4 linked regions of the Saccharomyces cerevisiae S288C genome follow. The gene in region 1 interacts genetically with each later gene. Each region holds a gene or a part of one and is shown in the gene's direction. Other genes may lie near its edges. The genes, in order: RPS21A, TMA20, MDL1 and SIP1.

Region 1 (4,377 bases):
AGAAGCCTTTCTACCATTCCTAGTTATGAGCAGATGAAACGTACAAACAAACTGCCAGATTATCACCTAAAGATTGTTGTTGTGGGAGATGGCGCTGTAGGGAAGACGTGCCTGCTGATATCTTATGTCCAAGGAACATTTCCGACTGATTATATTCCTACTATTTTCGAAAATTATGTCACAAACATAGAAGGACCCAACGGTCAAATTATAGAATTGGCATTATGGGACACTGCCGGCCAAGAAGAGTATAGTAGACTTAGACCGCTTTCATATACGAATGCAGATGTGCTGATGGTGTGCTATTCTGTTGGTAGTAAGACATCGCTTAAAAATGTGGAAGATCTCTGGTTCCCAGAGGTTAAGCATTTTTGTCCTTCCACTCCAATCATGCTAGTCGGCCTTAAATCAGATCTATATGAAGCTGATAACCTTTCAGATCTGGTGGAACCAAGTTCAGCAGAATCCTTGGCCAAGCGTCTGGGGGCATTTGCACATATTCAATGCTCAGCACGATTGAAAGAAAATATCGATGAAGTATTTGAAACTGCCATACACACGTTACTTTCCGATTCATTATATGCTCCCAGAGAGCCTACACATACAATCAAAAATCCCTTTAAAAGAAATACCACCAGATCAGATATCGATTCTTCTACTGGAGATACCAGCGTCTCTATTTCCGGAACGAAAAGATTAAGAAAAAACAAGTGTATTATAATGTAAGAATAATGATGAAGATTATTCTGTTGCCCATTCTGTACGCACTTACAACATTTGAAAAGTGGCAAGAAAAAATACACACATTTTACTATCTTCCGCTATCTTATTTATCAAGACGAAACAATTAGAACCTGATTTAATTTAACTTCCATTTTTCTGAATCTGGTGTGATATACCGCTCCAATATATTCGAATTTATCCCAATTTTATCATAATAATTCATTTTAATTCGATGTCATAAAGTACTAATTCGATATTAATCTAGCCTAATTACATTAAATACTTAATAAAAGCTTCTGTGACATAAAAGTACAAATCTGTCATTTTATTTTAGAGGAATAGTTTAGGACAAAGTCATTATGTACGAACAGTTTGAATTTTCTTTTTTTTTCTTCGAAAATTCAGACAATAAGGTTAAATATAAAGCTCATCTCATCTCATCGATAAAACGCTGGAGTATTATCACATGCATGCGTTGCTTTTGGACCGTACAGAAGTCTATATTTAAAGCTAGGTTTTTCGCTTGCAGAAACTTTGTCAAGAAGCATAATTATAAACTAATCAGCACCATGACTGGAAGTACTGAAATGGTACCACCAACAATGAAACATACCGTTGACAACAAAAGGCTTTCGTCTCCTTTGACAGATTCTGGTAACCGCCGGACTAAGAAGCCAAAGTTGAGAAAGTACAAGGCCAAAAAGGTTGAAACAACTTCTCCGATGGGTGTCCTAGAATTTGAAGTGAACGATTTGTTAAAATCTCAAAATTTGTCCAGGGAGCAGGTTCTGAACGATGTTACTTCAATTCTAAATGATAAGTCCTCAACAGATGGACCTATCGTCTTACAATATCACCGAGAGGTAAAAAATGTCAAGGTCTTAGAAATTACTTCCAATGGCAACGGGTTGGCTTTGATCGATAATCCTGTTGAAACAGAAAAGAAGCAAGTTGTTATCATACCGTTTGGCCTGCCCGGTGATGTAGTTAATATCAAAGTCTTTAAGACCCACCCTTACTATGTCGAGAGTGATTTATTAGACGTAGTGGAAAAATCTCCAATGAGAAGAGATGATTTAATTAGGGATAAATATTTCGGGAAATCTTCAGGAAGTCAATTAGAGTTCTTAACTTACGATGACCAACTAGAATTGAAAAGAAAAACAATTATGAATGCCTACAAGTTCTTCGCACCAAGGTTAGTTGCTGAAAAACTTTTACCCCCATTTGACACCACCGTAGCTTCCCCTTTACAATTTGGCTACAGGACCAAAATTACGCCTCATTTCGATATGCCAAAAAGAAAACAAAAGGAACTATCAGTAAGGCCTCCTTTAGGATTTGGTCAAAAGGGTAGACCTCAATGGAGAAAAGATACTTTGGATATCGGCGGACATGGTTCGATATTAGATATCGATGAATGTGTGCTTGCAACTGAAGTTCTCAACAAAGGATTGACTAATGAAAGAAGAAAGTTTGAGCAAGAGTTTAAAAACTACAAAAAAGGCGCGACTATTTTACTGAGAGAGAATACCACTATTTTAGACCCTTCCAAACCAACTTTAGAACAGTTAACCGAAGAAGCCTCTAGGGATGAAAATGGTGATATAAGTTATGTCGAAGTCGAAGACAAAAAGAACAATGTCAGGCTGGCTAAAACTTGCGTTACCAATCCTAGACAAATTGTCACTGAATATGTTGATGGATATACTTTTAATTTTAGTGCGGGTGAGTTTTTTCAAAATAATAACTCTATCCTGCCAATAGTGACCAAGTATGTCCGTGATAACTTGCAAGCTCCCGCTAAAGGTGATGATAATAAAACAAAGTTTCTAGTAGATGCTTATTGTGGATCAGGTCTTTTCAGTATATGCAGCTCCAAGGGCGTAGATAAAGTGATTGGTGTAGAAATTTCCGCTGACAGTGTCTCTTTTGCAGAAAAAAATGCAAAGGCAAATGGTGTTGAAAACTGTAGATTCATCGTTGGAAAGGCTGAGAAACTCTTTGAGTCTATTGATACTCCAAGTGAAAACACTTCCGTTATCTTGGATCCACCACGCAAGGGCTGTGACGAATTATTCCTAAAGCAATTAGCCGCATATAATCCAGCCAAGATTATTTACATATCGTGTAATGTCCATTCCCAGGCACGTGATGTCGAGTACTTCCTCAAAGAAACAGAAAACGGTTCCGCCCACCAGATTGAAAGCATAAGAGGATTTGATTTCTTTCCACAAACGCACCACGTTGAGAGTGTGTGTATAATGAAGAGAATCTAATTGCACATATAAAATATCTATCACTATGTATATCTTTCTAGAGTAAATGTCTTCCTGTACTTTTAAATCCGTACATTTTGAAAATTGAAAATGTATCTCAGATTCATTTTTCAATTCGAAATGAACGAAAATTACACTAAAAAGGTAACGTGTAGAGTGATATTATGCACAACGATTTTTTGAAAATTTCATATACGTTATTCTAATGTTTAGTAGAGAGTTTAGCGGAAGATATAAGGTGATCAGGCGTAAATTAACCACATACAAACCATAGAAACATCATACCAAAATGGAAAACGATAAGGGCCAATTAGTATGTTCGAGAAATCTATAAGATTTTTTATATTTTAACGGATGAATGGAAAGTGCATGGCTGTTTAAATAAATGTAAGAAAGATATCATAATGCAAACAAAACGTAGGCATCCGCAATGTATGGAAAACATACTTATGGTTACCGATAATAAGCAACTCCGAAGGTGCCATAGACCAGCTCTGAATGCAGCCTACAAAAGTTGAGCAATTTCTGACAAAATTCTTCGATTACTTTCTTCACATGTATTAAATCATCACTCACCACCACCAACAATGTGTTTTTTAAACTAGCATAACTAACAAAGATTTGTTTTACATCAGGTCGAACTTTACGTTCCAAGAAAATGTTCTGCTACCAACAGAATCATCAAGGCTGATGACCACGCATCTGTTCAAATCAACGTCGCTAAGGTTGATGAAGAAGGACGTGCTATCCCAGGTGAGTACGTTACCTACGCTTTGTCCGGTTACGTTAGATCCAGAGGTGAATCTGATGATTCTTTGAACCGTTTGGCTCAAAACGATGGTTTGTTAAAGAACGTCTGGTCTTACTCACGTTAAGAGAAAAGAAAAAGAGGATTCGATTTAAGCTTCATATCGTTCAGACTAATAGGTAACTGACGATTTTTCTCTTCATTACCAACTTTTCACCATATGTTCTAATTCGTCGGATTTTCGATGAAGCGTTTTAGGTACTCTATAGGTATTTAGGTTATAATAATATATTGTATTTTTAGACAACCGGAACCTGTTTAATTTGAAGAGTCATTGTATTCTTGGCTATTCTGTTTAAAGTTTTGCAGTGTGGAGTCCCTGAGAAACCCCCGAGCAAAAAAAAGACCCCAAAACCCCGTAAATATTACTACTCTACTTGTGTGTTATACATTTTCAGGAGTCAAAACGTACTAACAACCTTAAGCTTGCTTAAAGAGGTGCTATATATGTCGATAAGAAGCAGAGTATAAGGGTGCCTGAAAATGTTTGTTGCTTGTAAGCTATGCCTTTACTCTTGACTTACTTCAATATTGTTGGCAATTCGTGGTGGAGACTTAGTAGGGATT
Region 2 (7,285 bases), on another chromosome or scaffold:
AAAGCTTAGAATCATCCAACCATGAATTTTTATTGTCTGCAGTGACTAGAATGTACACACAAATAAAACAAGTGTGGTCTGATAATGTAGAAGAGCAGGTTTTGCACTTCGAAAGAATTTCTAACGCAACCACCAATGGAGAAATTCTTCCAGGTATACTTGATTTACCAGTAGGCTTGAAGAATTCAGAAGATTTGTTCCAATTTGCTAAGAGGTCTATGGATATTAAAGATACCGATGAAGGCTACGAGTCCATCGAATTAATGAATTCGAGCTTCAGGAAGCTAAGCATAGCTGCCACACGATCGATAACTCACAAAGAAGTTAATTCAAGCATTAATCCAAACCTTTCAGATACTGCTGCTTTAAATAATGACTATATGGAAACTATTTCTCTCCTAGTGAACAGTAACTGGCTAACTGAAATGCTTTCCATGTTAAACTTCAATAAGGATGGTATATTTGATACGTCATTGCAAAACGTTAAGAAAGTTTTCGATGTGGAAAAAGAATCTTATGCTTCCTTTCTACTCCGCGATACTATGCCTAAACTAACAGCCTTTGTTTATGGTGTGAGCAACATCATTGAAAATACCAACAATGTGAACATGACCAATCCTTCAAGATGGGCCGCATATAGCAGGCAGAACCTAGAGAACATTCTTTTAGCATACACTTCCCATGAAATTGAAACTCTAGTAAAAAGGCTGCACACTCATATGGTAAATGACTTCGGTTACCACCAAGAAAATGCCATAAACAACGTCCTATGCGATAAGTTGTGGTCGTGCATTCAAGGTCAAACCGTCTCACTATACTTGAAACTATACACTGTAATTGATAAACACTATAGAGGGACAAACATACGCTTCACGAAGAACGATATCATAAGTGCGTTCGAGGAATACAAGAATGCCTAAGTAACCTCTGCATTGTCGCTTCATATTACATATTTAGACTAATTAAGTAAATATTTTGATAAATTTCAATTTCAAATATCGTGTAAAATGATATATTAGTTTTCGAATTTTTTTTTCTGAATATAAAAGGAACAGAATATTAGTTAGCTTCATTGTCCAATTACTATTGTTACTTACGTTTAATGCATTTTCTTTTCTTTCACTTCCTTCCTTAATACTCCATCCTTATGCACGGGAAATACGCATATCAGTGAGGATTCGTCCGAGATTGTGTTTTTGCTGGTTGAAATTTAATTATAAACCAGACCGTCTCCTCATGGTCAATTCGGTGTTCGCTTTTGAATACTTCAAGACTATGTAGGGAATTTTTGGAATACCTTTTTTCATTACCGATATTCATTCTTTCAAAGGGACTGTTTATTTTTCTTTGGAAGTAATATCAAAAAATAGGTTAGGGATACCGGACTGAAACATTCAATTGAGGGCCCAACCATATTTTTCTTTTCTTTTTCACCGAATTCTCTAATGTGAGTTCACGTTATAGAAGCTGGAATTGTAAGTAATACAGAAATGGCAACTAAAATGGTAGGCATGAGTGTTCTCCTTCTTGTGTGTCTTTCTTTTCACCCGATACAGTAAACTTTGTATAGGAGAGTTGACCAATTACCTGACAGTGCCGTCTATAAACGAGACCTCAACTTCACCTCAAAAACCATAATTTTATCTATTGATAATTATCATTATGGTCATTTTCCACTAAATTCATAGTTACCTTACTCTTATGCTTTGTATTTGTAGGTGTAAAAATGACGAAAAATTTAATTATCTGAAAAATTATTGTGTGAAAAAACTTGATTTTGCTATAACCTTATGTAAAACCATATAAAAGACAAAGACGGTAAACTAAAACAGCAGAGAGGAAATGTTTAAGAAGTATGTCTAACATGAGAATGAATATTGCGTAATTCACTGGTTTTACCAGGGGTTAGTGTACACTTTTGACTCAGTAAGCAATTACTAACATCATCATCGATAGATTCACAAGAGAAGATGTCCATTCACGTTCAAAGGTCAAATCTTCAATTCAAAGAACGTTAAAGGCCAAATTGGTCAAGCAGTACCCCAAAATAGAAGATGTTATTGATGAATTAATTCCTAAGAAGAGTCAAATCGAGTTGATTAAATGTGAAGATAAGATCCAATTGTATTCCGTCGATGGTGAAGTTCTTTTTTTTCAAAAATTCGATGAACTGATTCCAAGCCTGAAATTAGTACACAAATTTCCAGAGGCTTATCCCACTGTTCAGGTTGATAGAGGTGCTATTAAATTCGTTCTCTCAGGTGCTAATATCATGTGCCCTGGCCTAACTTCTGCGGGTGCCGACTTACCACCTGCTCCTGGTTACGAGAAAGGTACGATTGTAGTCATCAATGCCGAAAATAAAGAGAATGCATTGGCTATTGGTGAATTGATGATGGGTACTGAAGAAATTAAATCAGTGAACAAAGGTCATTCCATAGAATTGATTCACCATTTGGGCGACCCCTTATGGAACTTCAGCGTTGAGTAACAAACGGAGCCGTCAACACTATATTACTATCCATCTGCTACATAATAAAATAAAGAAACTAAGAAAAAATTAGAATAACATCCGCTTACAATCTAAAAGGCTGTTTCCTGATTTTTAAATATGCAACTAGCCAAGATTAACTATATACTGTGATTACGATGGGCTGTTAACCTTCTGAATGCTCTTGTTATTTACTGGAGACGAAACATGAATAATATCTCCGTTCACAACATTAAAATCTGAAATGGGGCGAAAATTATACTTTATTTCGTTTATCATCCCTTCAGAATTTTCATGAAATAACTTAACATTCAGTATGTCAAAGTTTAGCTTTCGACATATTACACTCTTAACGTACCTTACTGTAAAACTGGGAAGGACCCAATAATCTAAATCACTACTCGGCTTCTTGCCAGCTCTTATCTTTATTTTTAAGACAAGAGATTGCCGTGTTTCTCTTTCATTGTTGAAACTTAGCTTACTCATATCGATTTCATACGACTTTATGAGGCTTGACCAACGCGGCAGATTGGTGTCATAGCTCAATTCGTTATTCATTACCTTGGAAACAAAAAACATCTCAGCCTCTCTTCTTGTTTTTACATCACATATTGATCCATTCAATACCATCACACGATCAAACCTAGCCAGTACTTCATAAAAAGTAGCCTGTTCTTCGACGTTAATATAATTTCCGTTGTAGTTGAATTCGTTGCCACTCAGATGGATATTTTTCAAAGAGGGAAATGTCTTATTCAAATCATCTATCAAACTTCTTTCCTTAAATTTGTTATCTGTTATATCCAAGGATTCAACAGAATAAATAGCAATACTTGGTGCTCTAGAAATTTGATTATTGGAGACATTTAAACCTTTCAATGTCAAATTTTTTGGAAACAATGGAAACGATATAAGATTATTTCCGCTAATATTCAGTTCCTCCAAAGTACACGGTATTTCATTCTCAAAATTTTGGATTCCCGCACTGGTCAAGTTGTTATAGCTTAAATCCAACATTTTCAGTGTCCTGAAGCTTTTGAGCAGCTTACCAATATGTTTATAACTTAAACCACAGGAAGACAGACGTAAAGTTTTGATGTGTGATAGGTCATATTCTTTCAAGTTGTCCCAACCGCTTAAAAGTTTATTTTGAGATATATTAAGGCTCTCCAAGTTCTTCAAAGGTTCTATGAACTCACATAAAGAGTTGATATTCGTGAATAGATTAAGCGATAAATCAAGGTCCTTGACGTTCACACAATTTTGTATTACACGGTTTAACTCATCTTGATTTTGAAACAATATAGCGACATCGGAATCTCGCAAAGCTATTTTTCTTAACTTCTTATAATTCTTATTTCTCGCATTTAGTTCATCGAATCCCAAACCCTCAACCCTTTTGTTACCTATAGATAGGTCATTAATGTTATTACTCGAGCCTCCATACTTTTCTGACAATGCTTCGTAAAACGTAATTCTGCGTACACCTGGAGATTTAATCTTAGACTCCTTCAAAAATGATCCTGAATTAGGAATTTGAACGTCAAAATAGTGTATGTCATCTATTGTTCCAGAATGTTTTCCCCGGCTGTGATCGTCCCATTCCACCCCATAAGCTTTTACCGAAGGCCACGGCTTAATAACACCTATGAATTTGATGGTGCAAAAATATCCACCAATCTTGAGTCTGTCCCCAATTTCATAAGTCATGCTATCTCTGAAATTCGTTTTGCATTTTATATTTTGTATATCTTATATATGAAACATAATAAAAGTTGGAACTTTTTAATGATTTCTTTGTCCAAAGAGCAAAAAGGCAGTAAAACTAAAAAAAATAAGATGTATAGTAATGAGTTTAAAAGCACACCTATAATTTACAGTAATGTTATTTGATGATAAAGAAAAAATAAGAAACACCCCTTACATAAAAATAGCCTTACATATGACTTATTTATTCCATCATTGTATCTTGATCTTTGCTAGCATCTATGGCCTTGTCAAGAGAGCTAAATAATCCATCCAAATCAAATTCTTTGGACCACTCGGATACAATGGTGGATTCATTTGCTGCAATTGGAGCTTGTTTAGTGCCAGTGTTTATAGTACTTAGATTTTGTTTATCTTGTTGAGATGCAGCTGCCGATGTATTTGGTAAAACCCAACCAAGAATTTTACCATCCCTCCAGTCATTAAGTACCGAAAGACCAGCACTGGCAAGATTTGGAATACCGCCTTTCCCTAATCTACCTCTTTTACGAGCGACGTGAATTAAGAAATGTTTTGTAAACGTATCTGCATCATTAGCAGGAATAGGAGGAATTTCATACAGCTTTTTAAAGCTCTCTGTCATTTCATCTGATTTAGCTAGTCTCTTTACCAACATTAAGACAGCTGGATACGGATCAACAATGTGTTTTGCCGGTAGAGCATTTAGAAGAGCTAATTCAGCTTCATGTTCAACTTTCGATCTTTTCTTATTTTCGCTTGGGAAACATATACCAGGAGAATCTAGAATCTTCAACTTGTTGTCGATTTTGATCTCTCTCAGAGAGGTAGTAACACCTGCTTCATTACCGACTGGGCAAGCCTTTGATTGACCTCCACGGCGCGCCAAAAGAGCGTTGATAACAGATGATTTACCAACATTTGGATAACCGATAACACCCACTACAATAGATCTCTTCAAATTGCTGTTATTAGAGTAAGTTTTCAGCGACTCTAGCAGTGCACTTGCAGTAGTGGTTTGGCTTAGCTTTCTGTTGAAAGAAGTTCCGTTGACTGCACCAGAAGAAGCTCTTAATGGGATTGTAGGAAAACTAGACTTTAAGTAATTTAACCATTGTTCCAATACATGTGGGGGAATTAAATCAACTTTGTTCAGTATTAAAATCAGCCTTTTACCCTGACTTTGTAAGACGGCTTCTTCCACCTTTCTTGATCTTGTACTCTCTGGATCTCTGGCATCCAAAACATATAGGATGACATCAGAAGCATCAATAACGGATTTGAAAATCTTGTCATAAGCTTTCCTAGATTTTTCAAGTTCTGACTCGCCTTCTACATCTTCACCGTAGAAATCAATGTTATAATCAATGACGTCCAATTCATCATCACGAACATCTGCATCATTAGAGGGTGTGCCCTCATATTCAGCAGCTGCTTGCTGAGCAGACTCAACCAAAGCTGCTAATCCATTTTCATCGTCTTCTATCATGTCTTCATCCATTGCATCAACGCCTTGTTCCTTGGCAGCTTTCCTAGCCTCCAATCGTTGTTGTTTGGCAAGCTCTCTTTCCTCTAAGTCCTTCATTTTTTTGGCTTCTATTTCTTCTAAGATCTTAGCCTTATAAGGAAAGTTAGAAGGAATACCAGGGTCTTTCTTAGACCTTGATCTCCAAGTAACGTCCTTCTTAGCCATCTTCTTTTCCTTTTTTCTATGGGCAGAAGCCTTCTTCTTAATACCTTCCTTCAACTTGGTAGATGTTCTTCTAGATTGGCGCTTTCTGACTCTCATTTTATGATATTATAGTCGTGACTGTATACCTATATGCTTGTTCTTGTGTGTACCAAAGTATTACTAGTACAATTCCCTCTTGATATAATTAGCTCATCTCATCGCCTCGCTCGAAAATTTTCAGCAGCTGTGAGAAAAAAATTTCAAAAAAAAAACAGAAGCGACGTTTAGAGTGACGTGAATCACTGTTAATGCAATACTATGGCACCTCACTAGATATATACATATATTTATGTGAGAAGTATATGCGCTTCTATTTATGGCACATACACCACCACATTCAATCATATAGCCTACTGTCCTTAAATTTGGAAAAATCAGCCATAGAAAACGCAGGTCGTAAGTTTGACGGAGCGAGATTAGCGGACTGACTTGCTGTCCTTTGTGGTTCGTGCTCCCTTTGCATTGTGGCTGAACTCTTACCAAGATCAAACATACTGCTACTCTTCATCCTGTACACATCTTTGAAGCCATCTACGTCTGTTCCAAGTTCACCTTCCTCCAATCTGGAAAATGGATCTGATCTCCTTAGAAATTTCAACCTTCTCCTTATGCCTGTCTTAAAGTCCTTGGTAATGTTGTACAGACCGGAAAAACGTCTTCTGATTATGTGTGACCTATGAAAGATCAAGTAAAATATGCAACAAATAATTGCGAACCACATCAAAAATCCTTTATTAGAAAGGCTGGAACTTTGCTTGCGTAGTTGATCAGACTCCAGTAACTTGCCAGGTATGAATTTCTTACCAGTGAGCTTAGTTCTTCTTTCACTGGGCGCAATACCCACCATGAAGTCATCATTACCTGCCAATATGCTACCTGAGGCATAAAGTAAAATTCTGCCTAGTGTCCACGATAACTCTCGTTCTTCGACTTTTTCCACACTTTGAAATAAGGGCCTGTCATTGACATTTTCTGCGTCGACATCTATTCGAGGCATATCAAACCCTTCATGAAGTATATTAAGGACCCAATTGCCCTTAAAGCATGCATCTTTCAAAAAATTCTCCGGAATAGAATTATACACGCCTTTATCACTGTTCGCTAATATTTGCGTCCAATTGGAATTGCAAAACTCCCTTAGGCTTTTGCTAAATTTGTCAAAGTTGTATTCGCCCCCAAGTTTGAATACGTCGTTGGCAGTGTACCAGTACTCAGAAGTACCTATAAATTTGTCATTGGCAAAGTCTATTCGAGGAGCATGAACACCATTAAACAAGCACGGCTCGTCATCACAAGGCATGTTCTTTAAAAGTAACGGATAAATAGATTTTGTACAT
Region 3 (8,689 bases), on another chromosome or scaffold:
ATGAAAGTATATGTGTCTTTGTTGGTGCCATGGCAAGAGGTAAAGATAACTTTGCGGATGAATACGTCGACGAAAAAGTCGGCTTGTCCAATTACCCATTGTCTGCCTCAGTTGCATGTTCTAAATTTTGCCATGGCGCTGAAGATGCTTGGAATATTTTATAGTGTTTAAGTCTACTTGGCATCCTCTTTGTATAATAAACAGTCAATATACGATATAGAAACAATCGAGTTAGCGATTAATTCGACTGCACCTCTATCCTTCCCCCACGCGAAATAATGGTTCGGAAGTCATCTGAACGAGGCTCAGTCTTTGAATATTTCACCTAATTCGGACCCTGAACGGTGAACAAAATTTCAATATGATATAAACAAAACGTGGAAGAACTCTTGGCAAAGACAAAGGATAAAGAGCTCGTTGGAAAAGTTTTTTTACAACTGCAAACGGCACTTAATATTGCTAATTAACTTGCCAGTATCATTTCCCTAGCGCCTTGCCGATTTGGTCTTTTTGGCACTGTTTATTCTTACTAAACGATATTCGTAAAACGGAAATCAAAGAAAACCAAAATTGAAGTCCCAAAGCGTGGCAATAAAAGAACAAGTAACTGCAAGAACACCAAGAAGCTACAGTAAGAAATGAAAAGGATTTTCTCTGGTGTGAAGTCCCCAAAGTTATCTGCTCCCCCAAAAGTTTTCAAAAATGATGAGAGCCCATCCACTCCGAGCTCTCCCAAATTCGACCAAGGGCTTCGAAGTTTATCAGCATCAGCTTCAAGACTCTTCAGTAACTCAATATCCACTCCTGGGAGCCCTACGTTAGATCTTCCGCAAGAACACTCTATTAATGGTGATATCTCACCAGAACTAGTACCAATCGTTACTTTACTCTCTGCACAGGCTCATAGGAGATACCATTATGGTATATTCTTGATATTACATGATTTGAAGACAGACGGAACACCTGCCGCGCGTCAGTGGGAAGAATGCTATGGTGTGTTGCTAGGAACTCAGCTGGCTTTATGGGATGCAAAAGAATTATCAGATTCCAAGAATAATAAGAACACATCAACCATGAAAAAAGCCGCATCGAGACCTTCTTTTATCAATTTTACAGATGCTTCTGTGAGGAGTTTGGACGCTAATGATCAGGTAATCATTGCATCAGAGAACGAAAAGACAAAGAAAGATCTAGACAATGTTCTTGTTGTTTCAACAACTTTAAAAAACAGGTATTTCTTAAAATTCAAAAATTCAAAATCATTCAAAACTTGGAACGCAGCAATTAGGCTTAGTTTGTTCGAGTTTACGGCGTTGCAAGAGGCCTACACGGGCTCATTTTTGTCAAGCAGAGGTGTTAAACTTGGTGATATCAAAGTTGTTATGGCAGATACAAAATTCACTTATGAGGACTGGGTTAGCGTAAGATTCGGGACAGGTATGCCATGGAAACGTTGTTATGCTGTTATTTCTCCACAGTCTGGCAAAAAAAAGAAAAATTCGAAAGGTTCAATATGTTTCTATGAAAATAACAAAAAAACCAAAAAATCAAACATAATGACAACGGTAGTAGATGCACGGGCTTTATATGCCGTTTATCCTTCCTCGCCGATATTAATCGACACATCTACAATCATAAAATTGGAAGGTTTTGTCTCTTTTGACAAAAGTGAGGAACCTCAAGAAACCAACCTATTTATCATGCCTGAAAAGCATCAAGGTGTTCCGGGATATGACACTATTATTCGCTTCTTAATCCCAGCTATGAACGCGTTCTACTTATATGGTAGGCCAAAGGGTTTGATTGCCAACAGAACTGACCCAGACTCCCTGCTGTTTGCCTTACCCACTCTTCCGCATATATATTATTTGCAGGTGGATGACGTTTTATCATTAACAAAAGACAAAAATTACATACATTGGAGTGCTGCTGATTGGAGGAATAACATTGTTCAAGTATTACAGAAAAAATTAAGTAAGGGCTATAAAGGCTGTGGTAATAAAACTGTATCAGTTTCATCTGGGATGATGAAGTCGCCGGCAATTAGTTCAGCTGAATTATTTGAAGGGTACGATTCTCTCCCTGAAAGACAAATGGAAAGTCCGCAAAAATCTAAGATGAAGTCTCCTACATTAGCATCGACCGATGATATTAATTCCGCTTCTGCTTCCGTAAACTCACATGCTACCTCAGTAAAACAAACTGAATTATTTGTGACTGATAATTCTTCAAAAATCAATGACTCTGTGTCGGCGCAGTCCAGTGTCACTACTAACTTCAAAGATACTTTTACCACCCCAATGACATCAGGAATGCTCAACCATGAAAATTCAGAGAGAAGCTTTGGTTCAGGATTAAAACTCAAAATCACTGATTCAAATTTGGAAAATATGGAAGACGTTGAAGCGAAATCTGCTAACGAATTCTCTACGACACCAGAAGACAAACATATTCACCTCGCCAATGCAGCCGAATTATCCGCCCTTTACGACAAATATTCCACATCTCCGTTTGGTAAATCGGAGGCTAATTCAAGCCCTAAACCTCAAAAATTGGAAGTTAAAGATCGGTCAAAAAATGAAAACAGAAGCCCCTATGAGAGATACGTAGGTACATCCGCTGAAAGCAAGACATTTGAAATAGGTAACGTCAGAGAGTCGAAAAGTACGATAAATACTTCCCTTTCTTCGCCTTTGAGGGTAGAAGATAGTAGACGTTCAAAAAATGAGGACCTGGGATCTTTGAAAGAGTTTGAAGAGTTATCTCAAAAGATTAGCAATATGGGAATGGCAAATATTTCTTCAGAAGCTTTAAGTGACACAGCAGAAAACAGTTCTTTTGTTACGGACCTGAACTTGAATATCAATAACAGTTCATCGGTCAATCTCAATGAAGAACAACGTGTGCCGGATTTTGGGGAGGAAAACGTATTTGATCCAGATTATATGGAACAAAACCAAATGTTGGAAACAGAAAGTAGGTACACTACGGATGAGTTTGACTTTTCAGATAATCAGGATGCAGCATCCAGTAATTATAGCAATGGGCAAACCAACCGAACAGTAACTGAAACCCTTTCTGCCAGTGACAGAAATGACAAGATCCCACATTCTTCTTTATTTACAAACTTAAACCAGCTTACTTCGAATGGAGGAAACTATCAGGATAGGGAAGATTTCTCTGGTGATCAAATAAACAAACCTCAACAATCTCAACCACTTCATGTGAAAGGACCACAAACTTCGTCATTTGGTTACAGAAATTCTTCAGCCAATAGCTCGCAGCCTCAAGCACCATACCCGGTTGGTCGCCCGTTAGGTAAGATAAGAACGGGTCCGCTGACCGTCCAGCCTATGCAACAAGGTGGAAACTCATCAATGTATTCTTTCCAATCTTCGCAACATCGGTTTCATTCGTCGCAACAGCGCCAAAACCAATCACTTTCCTTCAGAAACAATACCTATGGAAGTGGTAACAATCAAAATACATTCCATCCATCGCCGCAACTGCAACAACAGCCTCAAAATATGAGATATTTGAATAATAAGTTACCAATAAATGATAGATCTCCAATACCGCAAACACAGCACCATGTACCAGATGGCCGTCCCAGCCTCCATATAAATACCACTAACCGCACAAATCCGCTTACTGCACAAAGTGGATTTTCTCAATTTATGCCTCCCAATAGCACATCAACCAACCCATATTCCAGCTGATTCATTTATATTTCATCTTTTCTTTTTTTTTTTTTTACAATTCAGTAGTTTTATATAACTTCCCATAAATGTATTATTTTTTTAATACGACTATAATATACCTCTATACCCTTATTTATCTCTTTACCTTTGCTTTTAAGCTAAACAAATCTTCATTAACAGGTATTATATTACTGGCGTCGCGTTTCGTTTAGGCGCATCGAGCCGAGACTTCAGAATCACAAATGCTTTGTATATATGTTACGTATTCAGTATTGCCCAACATGCAACTAGATTCAACTAAGCAGACGTGGGTACTTACATGAGAAGCAGATCATTGAAATTTTACTAAGTTAAAGAAGAGGAAGGGCTCCAATGATTGTAAGAATGATACGTCTTTGTAAAGGTCCAAAGTTGTTGCGAAGTCAATTCGCATCAGCAAGTGCACTATATTCAACCAAGTCATTGTTCAAACCTCCCATGTACCAAAAAGCGGAAATTAATTTGATTATTCCACATAGAAAGCACTTTTTGTTGCGGTCGATTCGATTACAATCAGACATTGCGCAAGGAAAGAAGTCCACCAAGCCCACTTTAAAGTTGTCCAATGCAAATTCAAAATCCTCGGGGTTTAAAGACATTAAACGGCTATTCGTCTTATCTAAACCGGAATCCAAGTACATTGGTCTTGCCCTCCTTTTAATCCTCATTTCAAGTTCAGTTAGTATGGCTGTACCTTCCGTTATCGGTAAATTATTAGACTTGGCTTCCGAAAGTGACGGCGAAGATGAAGAGGGCTCAAAAAGCAATAAGTTATATGGTTTTACGAAGAAGCAATTTTTCACAGCATTAGGAGCAGTATTTATAATTGGAGCAGTTGCTAATGCAAGCAGAATCATCATTTTAAAGGTCACCGGTGAGAGACTGGTCGCAAGATTAAGAACGAGAACAATGAAAGCTGCATTAGATCAAGATGCCACATTTTTAGATACTAATCGTGTCGGTGATTTGATCTCAAGATTATCATCTGATGCATCTATAGTGGCCAAATCGGTCACACAAAACGTCTCTGATGGAACAAGGGCAATTATTCAAGGGTTTGTCGGTTTTGGCATGATGAGCTTCCTCTCGTGGAAATTGACTTGCGTAATGATGATTTTAGCCCCTCCTTTAGGTGCTATGGCACTGATATATGGTAGGAAAATACGAAACCTATCAAGACAGTTACAAACCTCAGTAGGTGGGTTAACAAAAGTGGCAGAAGAGCAATTAAATGCTACTAGGACAATTCAAGCATATGGTGGTGAAAAAAACGAGGTTCGCCGCTATGCAAAAGAGGTTAGAAATGTATTTCATATTGGTCTGAAGGAAGCGGTTACTTCCGGTTTATTCTTCGGAAGTACTGGGCTAGTTGGCAACACTGCAATGCTGTCGTTATTATTGGTTGGAACAAGCATGATTCAAAGTGGTTCAATGACTGTCGGTGAATTATCTAGTTTCATGATGTATGCCGTGTATACCGGAAGTTCATTATTTGGTTTATCGAGCTTCTATTCAGAACTTATGAAAGGTGCTGGTGCGGCTGCCAGGGTTTTTGAATTAAATGACCGTAAGCCATTGATTCGTCCGACTATTGGAAAGGATCCTGTGTCATTAGCCCAAAAACCCATCGTTTTCAAAAACGTGTCATTCACTTATCCCACTCGGCCCAAACACCAGATTTTCAAGGATTTGAATATTACTATCAAGCCTGGTGAACACGTTTGCGCTGTCGGTCCATCAGGAAGCGGCAAATCAACAATTGCGTCTTTGTTGCTCAGGTACTACGATGTGAACTCAGGATCGATCGAATTTGGTGATGAAGACATCAGAAATTTCAACTTGAGGAAGTATCGAAGACTAATAGGATACGTGCAACAAGAACCACTACTTTTCAATGGGACTATTCTGGACAATATCCTCTACTGCATTCCGCCTGAAATTGCGGAGCAGGATGATCGTATTAGACGTGCTATTGGAAAAGCTAATTGCACAAAATTTTTGGCCAATTTTCCAGATGGATTGCAGACTATGGTTGGTGCTAGAGGCGCGCAATTGTCCGGTGGTCAAAAGCAAAGAATTGCATTAGCTAGAGCGTTTTTACTAGATCCTGCCGTCCTTATTTTAGATGAAGCAACCAGTGCCCTTGACTCTCAAAGTGAAGAAATAGTTGCCAAAAATCTTCAGAGACGTGTGGAAAGGGGGTTCACTACTATATCAATTGCACATAGGCTTTCGACGATCAAACACAGTACTAGGGTGATTGTGTTAGGAAAACATGGCTCAGTGGTTGAAACCGGTTCATTCCGAGATCTAATCGCCATTCCTAATAGTGAACTAAATGCGCTGCTTGCCGAACAGCAGGACGAGGAAGGAAAAGGGGGAGTGATAGATTTGGACAATAGTGTTGCCCGGGAAGTATAAGAAGTTGCCGCAGTATGGAATCACTTTTCTATGCCACAGTTATGGTATGTGTTGGAAGACAATTAATTATCGCATTATGTTTGCTGAATATGAAATTGTGTATTCTATAATTTAAATGATGCCCAATGTAATTTACACAAACAGTTTTTTTTTAAAGCTCCTTGTACGCCTTTATACACATTAAATTAATATTAGATGCACAACATACGGTACGTTTAGGAAACTCAAATTAAGCTTTATTTTTTTACTTTTTTATTATTGTTACTATTATTCTTATTATCAACATTATCGTTTTCATATCTTTCCTGAGTACAAATATGACTGAAACTTACAAAAAAAAAATTAATTATTTATTACTATTAATGATTAGATGTTACGCTTTTTTATAAAAGTGAGAGTGATACTCGGTTTAAATCATCGTCCACCCTTCATCCGTTGTTTCAGCAGGTGTCAGTTTGGTTGCATCTACATTTTCCTCTTTCTTGCGCGGAGTTTTCACTCTTGATAAAGTAACGCTTCTTGCATACTCAAGTTCGTTGTAAATTGCACTTATTGCAGTTTTAATCCCATCTTCTTTGGAAATTTTCTTCTTTATTAATCCAGCTCTATCCTTCATTATTTTGTTCGTCGTAGCTACTTTTAAAGCATCTGCTAATGTTTGAGCGTTAAGTTTCTTTAAAGCAATACCAACTCCAATGTCTTCTACTCTACCTGCATAAAAGAACTGATCACCAAAGAAAGGTTTTATAACAGTAGGTAAACCAGCACGTAATGAAGCTCCAGTAGTTCCAGAACCACCATGGTGAACGGCAGCATCGACTTGTGGGAACAACCAATCATGGGGAACGTTTCCGATATTTAAAATGTTTCTTGGAAGATCTACCTCTGTCTTCTTTGCCGCCTTATCGCCCAACCTTTCTGACCATCCCTTATTTAAAATGCAGTATACATCTGCTTCCATAACTGCTTCGACAAGAGCTTCCGTCATTTCTTTGGCATTAGAGACTACAATCGAACCAAACCCGATATAAACCAATTTTTTTCCTTTTGATCTTGCCTCAGAAATAAATTCTTGTAATTCTGCTGGCGGTTTGAAAGTACTCTTATCATCAAGAAACCAATATCCTGTAACTCTCACCCACTCGCTAAAATCAATTGATGGCGGAAAAATTGTAGGAGAAACATTGTATAAGAAAGGAACATTATTCTGCTGTAAAAGAAAAAGATTTGTTTTCCCTAAACCTAGAGTTTCAACTCTCCACTTGTTTACTTGCCCACTAATTCCCTTCCAGAAAACGTTTTCGAAAAGGACATGTGTCAGGTAGTTATAGTTACCGCCCCTTTTTTGATCTGGTACAATAAATGCATGTGGATATGCTCTTGTTCTTGTCCATGGCATGGTAAATGCTCGAAAATAAGGAATTTGCAATGCTTCAGTAATATGAATACCAACCATAGCTGAGGGTGATTCAATCAGAATATCAAATTTTCTTCTGTTACAAACCTCCCAAGATGTCTGTAAAAGAGCATCGATCCATCCCCTAAATTTGCTCGAAGCTTCTCTCAGCATTTTAACATTCATTGATTCATTTTCCACCATCAAGGACATCAACTCCACTGGGTTACCAGCAATCTCTTCAAACTGGATTCCATGACTTTCAACAAAGTCTCTAAATTCCGAATGTGTAATTATTACCACTTGGTGACCTTCTTTTATCAAGCCCTTTCCAAGTGCAATATATGGTTGAACATCCCCTCTTGAGCCAATCGTCAATAATCCAAACTTATAACTCTTGTTTGGTTTTATGCTTGTTTTATAGTGCGGATTCTCATCAATCATTAACGGTACCTCAAAGCCCTCGGCATTAATTTTATCTTCGAAAAGCTTCAACTTCGCTGAGTCAGGGTTATGCTGAACATCGCCAAGAGAAGCACTCGATATATTCGATCCTTCTGCACTGCTTGCATATATGTTATCTAAGAGCTTTAAAAGAATGCGTTCAATATCATCCCTGGCGACCTCAGTGCTAAATTCAAAAAATAGCTCCTCGTGACCGTGAATTACTATAACCAATACAAAATAACCAAATCGAAATCCCTTTTCTTTATAGCATGTCTCCACATCAACCAATGGCAAAACCATGTATGTATTAGACCCTGGTAATAACGATCTGAAGCACACCGTATCATTGGATACGTAAATCTTACCATAAACGGGAACATTTCTATTCAGGTATGTGTAGTAAGTACTGATTAGTGACTTCTCTTTATTAAACTTGAAATGGTACCTGAACCGCTCGTTAGCAGAAACCTCTTCTGTTTCTTTAATCAAATAGGTATCATCCTTTTGAAACGGGATAAACTTGTTCCGGTAGTGTATTGGTTTGGCAGCCCACATTTCGGCAAAATTTTTGAGGTGACTTGGCTTCCAAGCTACGGTTTGCTCTTGACTATCTTCTTGTTCATGAATATGAATCGTGGAATGCACAGAAGAGTCTATATCATTCGCCGCATCTTTATATATTTCC
Region 4 (9,143 bases), on another chromosome or scaffold:
CATGTTTTGTGTGTGTACATTTGAATATATATATTTACTAACAAGGAGAAAACTTAGACCGACAAGCTGAAAGAGGATATTTTAACCATCAGTAAAGATGCTCTGGACAAGTACCAGTTGGAAAGAGACATTGCTGGGACGGTAAAGAAGCAATTGGATGTCAAATACGGCAATACCTGGCATGTGATTGTCGGAAAGAACTTTGGGAGCTACGTGACACACGAAAAGGGCCATTTTGTTTATTTCTATATCGGTCCACTGGCGTTTTTAGTTTTCAAAACAGCATAAATAGTGTTTCTTCAATAGTTAATCGATAATCAATTACTATTATACTTTCATACGAATGGGGTGTTACTTTTAAGGACGACATATAAGCAATGGAACGACCAGTTAAGATAAATGGGCAATATCCTTCGGAAAGGTCAGCAAATATATTTAGCAGGTGACATGAAGAAGCAAATGTTGCTAAATAAAGATGGAACACCTAAGAGGAAGGTGGGCAGACCAGGCAGAAAAAGGATTGACTCTGAAGCTAAGAGTAGGAGGACTGCCCAGAATAGGGCAGCTCAACGAGCGTTCCGAGATAGGAAAGAAGCCAAAATGAAGAGTTTGCAAGAGAGGGTAGAGTTACTAGAACAGAAAGATGCGCAGAATAAGACTACCACGGACTTTTTACTATGTTCTTTAAAAAGTTTACTGTCGGAAATTACAAAATATAGAGCTAAGAATTCTGATGATGAAAGAATATTAGCCTTCCTCGATGATCTGCAAGAACAACAGAAAAGGGAAAACGAAAAAGGAACAAGTACAGCAGTTAGCAAGGCTGCAAAGGAATTGCCATCGCCTAATTCAGATGAAAACATGACTGTGAACACAAGTATAGAAGTACAGCCGCACACTCAAGAGAATGAGAAAGTTATGTGGAACATAGGCTCATGGAACGCTCCCAGTTTAACCAATTCGTGGGATTCTCCCCCCGGAAATCGAACAGGTGCCGTTACCATCGGTGACGAAAGTATTAATGGTAGTGAAATGCCAGATTTCAGTCTCGATCTTGTCTCCAATGATAGACAGACTGGTCTAGAAGCTTTAGATTACGACATTCATAACTACTTTCCTCAGCACTCTGAACGCCTGACCGCTGAAAAAATAGATACGTCAGCATGTCAATGTGAAATTGACCAAAAGTATCTTCCATACGAGACAGAAGATGATACTTTATTCCCCAGCGTGCTTCCCCTTGCTGTAGGGAGCCAGTGTAATAATATTTGCAACCGCAAGTGTATCGGGACCAAACCATGTTCAAATAAGGAGATCAAATGCGACTTAATAACAAGCCACCTGTTGAATCAGAAATCTCTAGCTTCGGTGCTTCCGGTGGCTGCTTCTCATACTAAAACAATTCGAACCCAATCTGAAGCAATTGAACACATTAGCAGCGCCATATCGAATGGAAAAGCGTCTTGCTACCACATTCTCGAAGAGATCTCCTCCCTACCAAAATATTCATCGTTGGACATAGATGATTTATGCAGCGAATTAATAATCAAGGCAAAATGTACAGATGACTGCAAAATAGTAGTCAAAGCTCGCGACTTACAGAGTGCTCTGGTTAGACAGCTCCTGTAGCATATAAACATATCTTGAGTATACATAATGTTGGATGAGAGCATGTAATATTGATCGCTTTGTACGATGATTATACCTTTTTTGTCTTTTTACCATTGTCTCTGATGGAATACTATTGACAATTAACAATGGTAGATATATCCGATACAAGTGGATACCTACATAAACAAGGTGTCTTACCTAGTGTTTCTTTCATTTGCACTTCTTTTTTTGCGTGTGGACTGACATCTTGGAAAGTTGAACTGTCATATTATATAGTTGTTGCAGCCGCCATGGGAAACAGTCCTTCTACTCAGGATCCATCGCATTCAACCAAAAAGGAGCATGGACATCATTTTCATGATGCATTCAATAAAGATCGTCAGGGAAGCATAACCTCTCAACTGTTTAACAATAGGAAGAGTACTCATAAGAGACGCGCCAGTCATACTAGCGAACATAATGGTGCCATTCCCCCTAGAATGCAATTACTTGCATCTCACGATCCATCGACAGATTGTGATGGGCGCATGAGCAGTGATACTACTATCGATAAGGGCCCGTCCCATCTATTCAAAAAGGATTATTCTTTGTCCTCTGCCGCAGACGTAAATGACACTACGTTGGCCAATTTGACTTTAAGTGATGATCACGATGTGGGTGCACCCGAAGAGCAGGTGAAATCTCCGTCGTTTTTGAGCCCAGGTCCATCAATGGCCACTGTCAAACGAACTAAAAGTGATCTGGATGATCTGTCTACTTTGAATTACACCATGGTTGACGAAACAACAGAAAATGAAAGAAACGACAAACCACACCATGAAAGGCATCGCTCAAGCATCATAGCTTTGAAAAAAAATCTTTTAGAAAGTTCAGCTACTGCTTCCCCTTCTCCAACGAGGTCTTCATCGGTGCATTCAGCATCACTTCCCGCCTTGACCAAGACGGATTCCATTGATATTCCTGTAAGACAACCCTATTCAAAGAAACCATCTATCCATGCATACCAATATCAATATCTCAATAACGACGAAACATTTTCTGAGAACTCTCAAATGGATAAAGAGGGAAACAGTGATAGTGTAGATGCAGAAGCAGGCGTACTTCAAAGTGAAGATATGGTTTTGAACCAGTCTCTTTTACAAAATGCTTTAAAAAAGGATATGCAACGTCTTTCAAGGGTGAATTCCTCTAATTCAATGTATACTGCAGAAAGGATAAGCCACGCTAATAACAATGGAAATATTGAAAATAACACCCGTAACAAGGGAAACGCGGGAGGCTCCAACGACGATTTTACCGCACCTATATCTGCTACTGCAAAAATGATGATGAAACTGTACGGTGATAAGACCTTGATGGAAAGAGATTTAAATAAGCACCATAATAAGACAAAGAAAGCCCAGAATAAAAAAATAAGGTCGGTTTCAAATTCGAGAAGATCCTCATTTGCTTCTTTGCATTCTTTACAATCAAGAAAGAGTATCTTAACAAACGGTTTGAATTTGCAGCCTTTGCATCCACTACATCCAATTATTAACGACAATGAAAGTCAATACTCTGCACCGCAGCATAGAGAAATATCGCATCACTCTAATTCCATGTCGAGTATGTCTTCAATATCATCAACAAACTCCACCGAAAATACTTTAGTTGTTCTAAAATGGAAAGACGATGGTACCGTGGCTGCAACCACGGAAGTCTTTATAGTAAGCACGGATATTGCTTCTGCTCTTAAAGAGCAAAGAGAGCTTACCTTGGATGAGAATGCAAGTTTAGACTCAGAAAAACAGTTAAATCCTAGGATCCGCATGGTTTATGATGATGTGCATAAGGAATGGTTTGTTCCAGATCTTTTTTTGCCTGCAGGAATTTATAGACTGCAATTCTCCATCAATGGTATATTGACTCACTCAAATTTTCTTCCTACAGCTACGGATTCAGAAGGCAATTTTGTCAACTGGTTTGAAGTATTGCCCGGTTATCATACGATCGAGCCATTTAGAAACGAAGCAGACATCGACTCGCAAGTAGAGCCAACACTGGATGAAGAATTGCCCAAGAGACCGGAACTTAAAAGATTTCCTTCTTCCTCTCGAAAATCTTCCTACTATTCTGCTAAGGGTGTTGAAAGGCCAAGTACACCGTTTTCAGATTATAGAGGCTTAAGTAGGTCCAGTTCAATAAATATGCGTGACTCATTTGTACGTCTGAAGGCTAGCAGTTTGGATTTGATGGCCGAGGTCAAGCCTGAGAGGTTGGTGTATTCGAACGAAATACCAAATTTATTTAATATAGGTGACGGCTCTACGATTTCTGTAAAAGGAGATTCTGATGACGTGCATCCCCAAGAACCTCCCAGCTTTACACATAGAGTTGTTGACTGTAATCAAGATGATTTATTTGCTACTTTACAGCAAGGCGGTAATATTGATGCAGAAACAGCAGAGGCGGTTTTTCTAAGTAGATACCCAGTTCCTGACTTGCCCATATACCTGAATTCATCCTATCTGAACAGAATACTAAACCAAAGCAATCAGAATTCAGAATCACATGAGAGGGATGAAGGTGCGATAAATCATATTATACCCCACGTGAATTTGAACCATTTACTGACAAGCAGTATTAGAGATGAAATAATCAGCGTAGCTTGCACTACTAGATATGAGGGGAAATTTATCACTCAAGTAGTTTATGCACCTTGTTATTATAAAACACAAAAGTCTCAGATCAGTAATTAGAATCTCAATTCGCAATGATTCTCACGAACTCTATTAATTCAATTTTTTTCTTTTTGATTCCTATGGCTCCTAGAACGTTTGCATTCCTTTTTTTTTTGTTCTAGTAGGTATTTCACGTCACGTTTCTGGCAATCCACTTCTCAGCATGCGTGGAATATACTTTAACATATCCAACGAATTTGCTGCATATTCTTATGTAATAGATAGCCGTTCCTAATGTGTAATGGCCTGCTTTGTTATAGAAATCATATATAAGTAGTGATTGAGCCGTAAAATCATCTCATATGCCCAATGGAAAACCAGTCATAGTATTATGAAGCATTCGCATTATTATATACCTCCATCTTCCCCTGTTATTCTGTCTTTGTATTTAAAATCATTTTTACGAATAGTGCGGTTGTCTTGGTTGATGACGTAATTCTTTGATATCTACTTATTTACGCGTTATTGGCCTTGAGTTATTAATATCATTATTGATGTTATTACTATTCACGAACAAGTTGTATAAATTTTCGAAATTATTATTATCACCATCTCCACATTGCATATATCGTTGCTCAATAAGTTCTGTCCATGGTTCTACAAATTCAAGCCCGATATCTTCACTAGCACCGAACCAATCTGTAACCTCGTCAGATAGAGATGGACCTTGGAAGAGTTCATTGTTCAGTAACGCTGTTGTGATATCGTTGTTTTGTTCAACAAAAGGATCAACGATACCTTTAGAAGATGTATCATTTGAATTCTGAGAATTGCTATTAATTTCCTCCGTCAAAGGCCTTTCCGAGGGTTCAAAAGTAGTCTCGGTTTTATTATATCCAATACGTTTAGAGAATATTGGCTTCTTAGTTAAGTCTTGTCCCTCCAGTGAGGATTCGCGATTGCTCTCTAGAGGAGTGGTGCCATCTCTTAATAAGGGTGGTCGTTCTAAGTAAGATTTTTTTCGAAGTTTCATCTCTGTACATAAGTACATTAATATGGCTGCGTATCTTTGACATAGATGTAATTCATCTGGTGTAGCTTCTTTCAAAGTAACCGCAGTGTCACGGATGATATCGAATGTTTCGTCAACCGATATTGCACTTAATTTTAAAATGTTTCTGGCATCTGGATTTGTTGCCAGTTCACTACCAGTAAGTGTTAGGTAGCATTTTACTATGAACGCAATGGATCTAATTATTCGTATTACCCATCTTACGGGCATGTATTTTAGCATTCCTTGCCTTGAAACTCGCTTTGCAGAACTCAATATTTCTTTTGCAGATCTGTATGCTAATTCCACATACCTCGCGCTTGTCACAATTTCATTCATATTCAATCTGCTTGTTTTCCCATCCACTTGCAGTGCGAGGGAAAAGATATAAAGTTGACAATAATTGAAATCTGTGATAATACTTTCACCATTTATTCTATCGATGTTATCAAATATTTGTTTTTTGTTCTTCCTATCTGCTAGTGAGAAAGGGACATCAGAAAGGGGTACAAGAAGCTCTCTGTAGTTACTGAGCCAGCCCTCTATCAAGGGAGAAAAAACACTTAGGACAGAGAGGTTGTGTCTCTGATCTGTCGTTGCCAATTTCCTCTTATTCTTCTCACAGTAAATCGTCTCATATGCTATGGATAGGATTCGAATGATCTCTATTTTTGCTCTTTGGGCGAATGAGAATCTTAGTGGAAATGGTGGTATGTGATTCTGTGCTAGATTAGTATCATCTTTTTTATTAGAATAATATAGAACATACTCATCGTTTAAAAACTCCCTCTCCCAATCAGTCAAAAAATTTTTCTCGTTGTCGTGGTCATTTTCTGAGTTTTCAAAAACTCTCTTCCACCTTAGTTTACTTTCTTCATCAGGCAAAATCTCATTCAGATAAAATTTTTCATTCCCAAGGTAATCCTCATTGCTTTCATTTCCATCGTTTTCAATTTTTCCTAAATTCAAGTTTAAAACGCTGAATGATTCTGCTAATAAGGATCTTTGATTCATATTCATAGCACTGGTAGTCTCAGATATATGAGTGACAATGAATACTTTTGAGCTGTTTTCAATGAATCCCATATCTTGCGCCAGCCTTACTGCAGACCCTGTCAGCATCCATGACATTCGGTCGCTTCTACGGATTGCGCCGACACCGGTCAATCCTTCTTCGTCCTTCCTCGTACTAATATTCTTACTTCCTCTAGCGTTGACATTATTTAACTCAGGATCATTTGCATAGTCAGACCATTTATAGTGGATACTCCTTGGGTTCCATTCCGTGAAAATTATGAAAGCAAGCACGGTGCCAATTGACCTAGTACTAGCCTCTGCCCAAATTGTTTGAGATATAAGCTTCTGGCAATACACCCATAATTTATCGTGAACTTCAATGTGTCTCATCCCATCTTCTCCATTGTCTAATCCTAAAGTATCGAAAGGATGATAGCGAGCAGAAACAGTCAAAATTGCACAAAACAAAATTGGATATTCTGCTAATTCTTTCGGATCATGCAATTGAAGTGGGATATTGGGAAAGAATGGGTGCATCGTGAGAAAAAATGCCTCTATGAGTTCAATCGCCTCCTCTTTAGTAAGCAAGCTATCTGGACCGATGTAATCGAAGTCGTCAATTTTCCGGGTAGGTGGAGGTCTCACTTTCCCGATTTCTTCCATTAATTGTGATGTTTTCCTATTCGTATTCAGCGTGTGGTTAAGCATATCTGCTGTATTTTCGTAAAGTGTGTTAGTACTGTCACTTTTTGAAAGTCGTTTCAACCCCTCGTCCGTAGCAGATTTATTTGTCGCATCCAAAGAACTTTTCAGTGGTTTCGGTGTTGTGGACTTCTCTTTTATGATTTCTTTTGCGCCTTCTTTTGCTACAGTTCCAGCAGCTTGGGCCAGAAACTCTAGGGCGTTCTGCATGGAGGAAAGTTCAAGCTTCCACTTCATCCCTTCTGATTTAAATGATTTTTCACTGCTAATCCCTTTTCTTGACAAAGGTACATCCGATAAAATTGGGCTCGTTGAGTCATTTTGTATCTCTTGCTTACTCTTACCTAGAGATGGCAGACTTATTGCATTAATCGAATTAGGAGGCAAGTCGTTCGAAGTTCCCTTATTAGAGCTAAAAATACATTTTTTTAGCTCCCTTTTGCAACGTGCACACGGTGGGTCGTGTGGGTTATCAACCGGACCAAGATCACATTTCACCTTCCTTGATCTGCAGCTGATGCAAGCTTGGTAGGTTCTTCTCCGTTTTGGAAGTTCAAATGCTGCGTTTCCCGAAGGCCTTTTCTTAGCAGACATAGAGGATAAAGCAGTGCTTAATGTAACCTTATTATGCGTGGATCATATATTCCCACGACTAACTTGATATTATTGCTTTAATTTATTCTCGCTCTTTTTTCATTGGTTAGTTACTATCTTCATTTATCTCGGTTATCATCGGATAGAATAGTGTACTCTCGTTGATTCCGAAAATATTAAAAAAAAGCCTTCATGTATTACTAAGAAGGACTCATAAAATTACAAATGCAATACTTGATGATATATATAATAATAGTAATGGCGTGAGCCTATGTGTATTAATGGGTATCAATTTTTGTGATCATCTTTTGTTGCAAGCGCCCCTTCCAGCAGCGTTTATTGCACAGTCAATAATCATTTTTCGCTATATTTTTGTCGTTTGATGGTTCTGTTGTTTTATAACTTTCGACATTCTCTTATAAAGTTCTTCGTCTAAAGCATCCAGCTCCTCGATATGTACATCTGAAACACTACCATTGTCGTCAATATCCTCTATTTCTAAATCTTCAAGATTAGAGAAAAGAGTCTGATTTGGCTTTGGTAGTGAAGATTCTGTGTAGCGTAATGTGTGAAGTTTAATCGAATTTGTATGAAGGGGTGTGGTATAAGCGGTACTTGGCAAACATGTCTGACTCCCTGTAGAAAACTCATTCGTAATTTGATTTCCAGTATCGGGATCATCTGTAGTACATGATTCAGTGCCTAGTCCATGAAGTTTAGTTTCGCACAAATGGTTCTTGTTATAGTTTTCAATAACTTCGTCTGGCAAGTGAAAACTGTTTGACTCTTCATTGTCAGAATAACTGTCGTATAATCGAATATCACCATTTTCATCAACATCTAGAATGCCTGATATGGACTCCTCATCATTCAAGAAGGCTTCCGTAGCATCTTGGTTTTTGTCATACACGCAGTCTCTTACTATACTGTCTATTCCCGAACCATCATCCCCATTGGTTTGATCAAAATCGAGGGGGATTGCGTCCCTGTACAATAGATCACCGTCATCATTAATGGTATAATGTAATCTGTGAATAGTATTATAGACTGTGTTTTCGCCAGTCACAATATAATGATCATCTACCGCAGAGTAAACACTTTCATTTTCAGATTCTGGCGGCTTTTCATTATAAACTTGGTTTCCAGAAGAAGAGCGGGAAAGCTCGGTACTTTCAAGTTCCCTCTCATTATTGAGGCTTTTCCCTATGCAGTTCCTTGGGTGTCTTTTCAATAATATATTTCTATGACGGAAAGCAAAAAATGCAACGAATAACCACAAGAGTACGCCAATAGTTAAAACAATCAAAAAGATGATTATTTTTACAGCATACTTTCCTGCAGATGCAGAATCTGTGAATGAATTGATAAAGTCATCCAAAGCTCCATACTTGTAAGTTCCATCTATGTTTTGGGAATTTCCTTTTGAAGAATCCAAGACGCTTGATGAGGTTAAACTAGGGACATAACCACCATCTCCAGAGCCATATAACGTCAATCCCCCTAATGGG

Evidence for each region.
Region 2: mutations in RPS21A (region 1) and TMA20 together harm fitness more than expected from each alone (negative genetic interaction), as found in Saccharomyces cerevisiae (2 studies listed by BioGRID).
Region 3: mutations in RPS21A (region 1) and MDL1 together harm fitness more than expected from each alone (negative genetic interaction), as found in Saccharomyces cerevisiae (2 studies listed by BioGRID).
Region 4: mutations in RPS21A (region 1) and SIP1 together harm fitness more than expected from each alone (negative genetic interaction), as found in Saccharomyces cerevisiae (2 studies listed by BioGRID).

What each region holds. Positions count from the first base shown.
Region 1 is NC_001143.9:548,366-552,742, forward strand, and holds RPS21A (40S ribosomal protein eS21 RPS21A), read left to right. Parts: upstream 1-3,291; coding exon 3,292-3,315; intron 3,316-3,637; coding exon 3,638-3,877; downstream 3,878-4,377. Other genes in the region: Rho family GTPase RHO4, read left to right, coding at 1-726; TRM2 (tRNA (uracil(54)-C(5))-methyltransferase), read left to right, coding at 1,083-3,002.
Region 2 is NC_001137.3:161,443-168,727, reverse strand, and holds TMA20 (translation machinery-associated protein 20), read left to right. Parts: upstream 1-1,842; coding exon 1,843-1,853; intron 1,854-1,956; coding exon 1,957-2,491; downstream 2,492-7,285. Other genes in the region: GTP-Rho binding exocyst subunit SEC3, read left to right, coding at 1-920; PAC2 (Pac2p), read right to left, coding at 2,645-4,201; RNA-binding GTPase NUG1, read right to left, coding at 4,443-6,005; YND1 (apyrase), read right to left, coding at 6,286-7,285. UniProt on the Saccharomyces cerevisiae protein: Involved in translation.
Region 3 is NC_001144.5:524,227-532,915, forward strand, and holds MDL1 (ATP-binding cassette permease MDL1), read left to right. Parts: upstream 1-4,073; coding exon 4,074-6,161; downstream 6,162-8,689. Other genes in the region: EMG1 (18S rRNA pseudouridine methyltransferase), read left to right, coding at 1-164; SKG3 (Skg3p), read left to right, coding at 639-3,719; ATG26 (sterol 3-beta-glucosyltransferase), read right to left, coding at 6,571-8,689. UniProt on the Saccharomyces cerevisiae protein: Mediates export of peptides with molecular masses of 2100 to 600 daltons generated upon proteolysis of mitochondrial inner membrane proteins.
Region 4 is NC_001136.10:1,310,532-1,319,674, reverse strand, and holds SIP1 (Sip1p), read left to right. Parts: upstream 1-1,901; coding exon 1,902-4,349; downstream 4,350-9,143. Other genes in the region: DYN2 (dynein light chain), read left to right, coding at 58-288; CAD1 (Cad1p), read left to right, coding at 400-1,629; ARO80 (Aro80p), read right to left, coding at 4,783-7,635; HKR1 (Hkr1p), read right to left, coding at 8,000-9,143. UniProt on the Saccharomyces cerevisiae protein: Beta subunit of the SNF1 kinase complex, which is required for transcriptional, metabolic, and developmental adaptations in response to glucose limitation.